2 linked regions of the Daphnia pulex genome follow. The protein of the gene in region 1 interacts with the protein of each later gene in a pairwise test. Links are inferred from orthologs where the notes say so. Each region holds a gene or a part of one and is shown on either strand. Other genes may lie near its edges.

Evidence for each region. The genes of interacting proteins can lie anywhere in the genome.
Region 2: the proteins of pre-mRNA-splicing factor SLU7-like (region 1) and peptidyl-prolyl cis-trans isomerase-like 3 interact in binary tests that used the Homo sapiens proteins (3 or more experiments, as listed by UniProt). The link is inferred for Daphnia pulex from reciprocal best matches to the Homo sapiens genes SLU7 and PPIL3.

The regions. Positions count from the first base shown.
Region 1 is NC_060025.1:5,188,496-5,192,510, forward strand, and holds pre-mRNA-splicing factor SLU7-like, read right to left. Parts: upstream 2,801-4,015; 5' UTR 2,573-2,800; coding exon 2,410-2,572; intron 2,346-2,409; coding exon 1,686-2,345; intron 1,613-1,685; coding exon 1,218-1,612; intron 1,154-1,217; coding exon 569-1,153; 3' UTR 383-568; downstream 1-382. UniProt on the Homo sapiens protein: Required for pre-mRNA splicing as component of the spliceosome. Participates in the second catalytic step of pre-mRNA splicing, when the free hydroxyl group of exon I attacks the 3'-splice site to generate spliced mRNA and the excised lariat intron.
Region 2 is NC_060018.1:4,044,775-4,047,725, forward strand, and holds peptidyl-prolyl cis-trans isomerase-like 3, read right to left. Parts: upstream 1,532-2,951; 5' UTR 1,376-1,531; coding exon 1,373-1,375; intron 1,304-1,372; coding exon 1,268-1,303; intron 1,206-1,267; coding exon 1,167-1,205; intron 1,100-1,166; coding exon 819-1,099; intron 751-818; coding exon 705-750; intron 643-704; coding exon 562-642; 3' UTR 501-561; downstream 1-500. Other genes in the region: uncharacterized protein LOC124188554, read left to right, coding at 1-40, 103-222. UniProt on the Homo sapiens protein: PPIases accelerate the folding of proteins. It catalyzes the cis-trans isomerization of proline imidic peptide bonds in oligopeptides. May be involved in pre-mRNA splicing.

The DNA of each region.
Region 1 (4,015 bases):
CACCTATTTTTACAATTTCGAACTATTGCTATTCGAAATGGCCGATAATACTGCAAATTCATTGACGATCGTTGACGATCGATAAATCCGAAGTTTACTTTTTTTAGTGAGTTAAGTTGACCAAATTAACTGTAAAAACAAAAATTTTAAATACATTTTGAGAAAATTTTTAACCATTTTCTTTAACATTGCTAAATAGACTAGGTCCACTTGAAAATAATAGGCCCACGAATTCTGAACCCTAGCAGTAAATGAGTAAAATTAAAATTAACTAATAAAGTCAACCGTTTGTCGATTTTTTTTTGCAACGGAAAAGTTATGACTAAATTTACTACTTTTGAGATGGGAAAGGTCAACTACAGAATGGAGGAATACTGGGAAATATTCTATTTCAACATTTATTCATTATTAGCTTCAAAATTATATCTAATCCGGTGGTACGATTGTGGCGTAAGCCATACATGGTCACGATGCTAAGATATAAGTCATACAACACATTCAGAGACTTCTCCCGAATAAAAAAAAAATTGAAAAAAGTGAAAGAATACATTTTTATTCGAAAACCAAATTAAAAGAAAGCCATTGGATCTTCTTCTCGTTTACGCTTCATGTAATAGGCTTCTAGTTCCTCCTCGTTCGGCGCTTTACTTTCCACCATACTATTGTAAGGTCGTTTCCTTTCGTCCAAACTCATAAGACGGTCAACTTGCCGGAGACGCTTTTCTTCAGCTTGAAGAGCTTCAAGCAACTTTTTCTTTTTCTCGGCTTCTTCATCACTTTCCGAGTCGCTGCTTTCATGGGTGTCACCCTTTTTCCCAACTGATTTTTTGTGTGATTTCTTTTTCTTCTTCTTATCTCTCTTCCTTTTCCTTCTGGCTTCCGATTTTTCGTAGTCTTTTGTGTCTTTGACGACTTCTGGTGGAGGCAACTGCTTTTCCTCAAATTTTTCTTCTTGGCTATCGTCATGGCTGTCTGTGTTCCCGTCATCCGAATCTTGTGTCACAATTTTGTTTGCATTTATAGCAACAGTCGAAGACGGGATTTTTTCTTCTTCGATGTCTTTGCTTCTCTCACCGGTGCAATACGAGTTCTTTATCATAGAATAACAGCACTGGAATCCCCATTGACCATCCTTCCAATAAGAGCCCCAGACCTACAAACAAAATTTTAAAATGTTACACGGTTATTAACAGAGCTATTTATTTGATTAGACTTACCGACTGATGGTTATTTATGTACACATCTTCTTCATAGCGGGAGCTTACAACTGGTTTTTCAGCCCCTTTGATAATTTTTCCAGCTCGAGAGTACTCCACGTATTGTTCGGTTTGAGCAAGTAGGAGTGCTTTGGGTGGAACTTGCAGATGTTCTTTACCACCATAACGTTCTAAGATACTCTCTTGAATGGAGCTTTTGATTTCTTCTTTCTTCCCAACATACTCGACTTTAAGTTTCTCAGCCTTGGTGGGTTCAGCTAATAAATGTACGTCAACACCGGCATGTTGAGCTTCCCACGCAAACAATTGAGCCTGTGCATGTTTTGAAGTGTCCCCACTAAAACGAATGAAATTTTCACCAGCATAGTCAACCTGTTCAGCTTCTTTTCCAGTATCTTAATAATAAAAAATTAATCATTAAATTAGGATTTCAAAATGATCACTCCATTACAAATTGATATAAGGTACCTTTATAGGGGTTTTCCCTCATTGAACGAGTTTTTGGATCATAGTAGGCTGAATTAGGATCCAGATTACGTAAATATTTGGCAGTATCTTCACGAATCCTTAGATTACGAACTGTAATTCTCTGCTTAGAATCCACTTTTGTTCCAGGCATGTCAACTTCATCAACATATTTATCTTCATCACCATCCATTTCTTCTTCTCCTCCTTCATCTTCATCTCCAGTATTTAGCCTCTGAGCTTTCAGTTGGCGCTTAGTGTCTTCAACTTTTTCAAATTCTTCTATAATGCCCAAATGTTCAGTTGGATTATAGCCATTCCAACGGTCACGTTTTCCATCAAAGTCAAGTTTAAGATCAGGTTGGATAAACTCATCTGGGGCTATTTCAGCACCAGAGAATTTTGCCAATACTTTCCTTGGTCTTTCCATACAATCTTTTTTCTTATGAGTCACTGCTCCACAGTTTTCACAAGCTCCTTTTCGGAATTTGGTTGTAAGGGAATCAAGATTCACCCCCCGCTGAAACCAATCACCAACTTTGGCCAACTGTTTTTGTTTATCATCCTCTTGAGGTCTTTGATGTTTTAGTGTTGGTCCAACAGTGTTGTAATACCATGGCGCTGAAGAAATATACTGCGGAATGTGAGGATTGATATCTTTGCCTGTAGAAAATTTAGAGTTGTCAAACAAGTAATTTTATTTTTTTTTTAAATTTATAACAATTACCTTCTTCATCTACTGCAGCTGGTGCAGTTCCTGCTTTCCTGGCTTCTTCTAGCTCTTTTGCCTTTCTCCAGTCTTCTCGAGTTTTCTTTTGAGGTTCACTACCTACAGACTGAGATTTGCTAGCTATTAGCAGCGAAACTGGTAAACTTGGAGTGTTCGCCATTTTAGGAAAATTTTTCAAACCAACGAGTAAAAGAAGTTGATAAAATTCATGTGCTACAATTTTAACAATTGGTGTGAAATGAACCAGTTTGCAATGTTCGTTTGTCAAGCAATCCTTTATTCCTTTGATTGTTATTGCGATACACGAATTTACGACTCCACGACACTACACCTGACTACACATAAGGGGAAGTGGATAAAGTGTGGGTGCGGAATGCAGGACTGCAGGAGTACTTCATGCAGCCTGCTGCCTGCAGGGTTGCTTGTTTTTACTTTTTGTACGCATAAATAGGCCTCAAGCGAGTATGTTCAGTCAGGGTCTCAGGGAGTCAGGTTCAGGATCAGAACTAACATTTCACATTTCGATAAAAGTGATTGAGGCGGCTCGGCTGAAAAGTGAAAACGTTTATAATAATAAAGTTGGCTAAAAATGGTCGCGGGAAAAAACAACTTTTTAAAAACAAGTTCTATTTTTTGTTATACTCTTTTTTAAAAAATGTGAGCCATCTCAAGTTTAGACCATAAATCCATCAATGCTGAACGACAGGGACGATTTTAATCATTTTCCCAGTTGATTTGAACATCGTAATTTAGCGGATGTCTATATGTAGAGTAGCTTTTCTTGTGCGTTTCGCCGTTTCATACGGGAAAATATTGAATCTTCGGAATGGTTTTTACGCATCTTTGTTTGCGATTCATACGTAACGGCGCGCGGCTGATAAGGATAACGGGTTACGTTAGATTTAATAGTCACTAAAAATTGGAGCTTCGTGAATGTTCCCCATAACCTTGCTATTTTGTGAAAATAATTTGTGCTAGTGGTTACAGCACTAGACTGAATACGGTACTCTTGGGTCTGTTGTTTTTCCGCCCCTCGTTATGTCGTTACACAATTAAGCCCCATTACCTCCATTAAGATATTAAGACTGAACAGATAAATGATTTGGCTTAACTACTCAATAAATTAATTTTAATTTATTATATTTTAAATAATTTGACTTGAGAAAACATTCGATTCCCTGTGCTGCTGAATCTGAAATTCCAGAAAATACTTTGAAAATTTGTTGTAACATATTATCGCGATTAAATAATCGATTTTGGTCTTTTAACTCTCGTTATTTTATTTTATAAGATTATAAATACAGTTCATAATGCACTAAAAATTCCAAATGCTTTTGCAATTAGGTTTTTATCGAGTATAGAACAGTTGTTACTAGGCCTATATCAGCATCATTTTATCAAAGCAAAAAGCAAGAAAAAAACGTCTCTTGTTGTTAATCGATCAAAGCAAAAATCGAACGAATTTTGTGCTACGATGCCACACTTTACGTTTATGTAATTTCAGAAGTGCGTCATGCCATTCTTTATGAAAAATTTCCCAACTTTTTAATGCATCTCTTCTAGATTTGGAACAAAAATCAATTTAGTATTCGCGCAGTTACTA
Region 2 (2,951 bases), on another chromosome or scaffold:
TGATGATCAAACTCCTGAAGAAGAGTATGGCGGTCAAGCTGTATGTAAATTAAAATTTTAGATTTAGAAGAAAATGTCTTTAAGTTTAATGTCTTGTTCCAGTCAGGAGAAGAAAACCGGAATGCTGAAGAAGCAGATGAAAAAAACCAGGAACATTCTGAAGCTACTGAAATCACTACAAATGAGGATGACTACGAAAAGGATGATTTATCTACCAATTAGCCAAGGAAGGATCAGTACGAGTTCAGAAGATGAATTGTTAACCTCCAAATTGACCTATCCCATTTAAGATGAACACAGAATGTAAAGGCGTCACGTAATGTGCGCTGAATTAAGGTTGTTTTTCGACTTATTTTCGATGGATTTTCACAATTTCTGCATTGAAGCTTGGTGGATTTTTACTTATGGCATATTAAAATTCACACAGCTCGACCCTTTTTCATGTCAACTATTGTGTACCTATTGGTGTACTTTGAACATGATATTAAATGAAACAAAAATAATTTCTGTTTTGATGTATAACACCCACATTCATACATAGCAAAGGAGCAGTTCAAACTTTCACTGAGCAAGTGGATTGGCATGAATAGTCACACTGTTTAAATGTATATCTTTCAACGGTCGATGATTCTTCTGGTTGACCTATGAACGAGGATTAGTTAACTCATTAGTTATACATATAATAATGGAGAAGTTTTATTTACTGGTAGTTTTTCCAATTCATCCAGCACATCAAATCCATCAATAACTCTAAAAATAAAAAAAAAAATTGTGTTTTAAAAAAGAGCTTTAATTGCTGTAAAAAATAGATAACTTACTTTCCAAATATTGTGTACTTCAAATCCAAATGAGGCTGCGGACCATATGTGATAAAAAATTGGCTGCCATTTGTGTTTGGTCCAGAATTAGCCATTGAAAGATACCCTCGATTTTTATGTTTTAATTCCTCTGTAAACTCATCCTCAAATTTTCTTCCCCAAATAGATGTGCCTCCTTTTCCTGTGTTTGCTGGATCTCCTGTTTGCACCATGAATCCCTTTATGTTTCGATGAAACAGGCATCCATTGTAGTAGTTACTGGCACAAAGTGCTAAAAAGTTCTGGATACATAATAAGACACTTGTGCAGAAAATAATTTTAAAAAATTCATAAAATTCTTAACATTACCTCTGCAGCCCTTGGTGTTACATCACAGAAAACCTCTATCTAAATGAAAATAATTAAGAATATGATTTATCTTATTAAGAAATATTTGACAAAATAAATACCTTAATATTGCCTAGATCAGTGTGGAGAGTAACAGACTGGAAAAATTAAAATTTTAAAATATTACAAAATTGGAAAAAAAACACATACACAACTCAAATACCAACCATTTTAATCAGATTCTTTGTTACTGTTAAGGGTAAGGGTAAAAAACAAATCTTAAAAACGTTTTTGCTTTTCTAATAAGCGTAGAAAAAGTGGAACACTGGAATCGGTTTTCAAAATGTTTCCTTTTCAAACGTCAAGCTTAAAGCTTTGTAGTCTGCTTGGTTATCATTGTTGCGGATTGGCCGCAAGGAGCAGGCCTCCACAACATCATGAGAACCATCTAACTCCGATCCGTCATAAGTGTAATTTTTTTAAAGAATGTATGATATTAAGCACAAATAAAATAATTAATGACAAAATCTATGTTGTTACTTTATAGGAATCTAGGAACGAACGACATATTTTATTGAAAGAAAATAATCTGTCACCAGAAAGTTGCTGTTTTCTCCCAATAGATGACGTCGGCTTTGGTATTGATAGCCCTCCCCAGATGGCTTCAAATTTTTGATGAACTGCGCGCCAAAAAAACAATTTTAATACTTTAATAGGTAAGTAAATGAGATTGGCACTGGATAACGATATCGTCTAGCTGCAACTCTCAGCGGACAGCGTTGGTTGGTTCTACTGATATAAGAACGTAGAACGGATCCATTCAACGTCCTTTTAGACGTTTATTCTGTAAATTACACACGAATGATGATTCCGTCGTTTACATCCATAGGAATAGGAATTTTACATGGTTTTTATGGTATTATAAATATTTCTAGTAGTTTTCTACATCAAACATTTAAGCGAAAAACAAAGTGCAACGTGGACACCATTTCTAGTAATAGCTGATAGCTCTGATTTTGATATTTGTAAAATATTTATAATTTCCATTCGATTTAATAGATATTTCATCTCACAATATTTGTGAATGATAGCTTTGCTATACTAACGAATTGCGTATAATTGAAAACGCTAATTGATTAAATGATTTAAATCGTGTTTGGGATAAAGTTTGTCCGCCAGGTGATGCGTTGAACAGTTGATGCGATTCCTAAGCACGAGCAGTCGAGCTCGAGCACGACTACGACACATGGCAGACATTGTTGTTGGATTTTCTGGTTAGTTTTCCATTCTTTATCGAATTACAAGTGTATTGCATCGGAATTTCTGATTGGATTAATCAGATTTAACAAGCTTCAAGTTAAGACTTAAGAAAGTTAACTTTACTGCCTGTCTCCACGTAATCGTTGCCGTATCATGAAAATGCCTCGATGTTGACAGGGTTTCTACTACAGCTACATTGACGACGAGAATGAGATGAAAACAGGAAATCTGAAATGGTAATAGTGTATGTAGTTGTAAGATAAATCAAGTGGTTTATCATTTAGTTTAAATTTTGTCCAGTGGTGTCCCATTTTACTTACACATTTTCATTGTTTATTTTACTTAAGTTCAACATCATTTTTATATGTTGAATATAAGTGACATACTGAACCACTTTTTCAGAATATTTGAAGTGGTTTTAGCACACAAGAAAACTGATATCCAAATTAAAACAAAATTATTTTTTTAAAATAGTACCAAGCAATAGTGTTTACTAACTAATGGTTGGTACTGACTGCTGGAGTTAAAGTTAATTGGCGACATCTC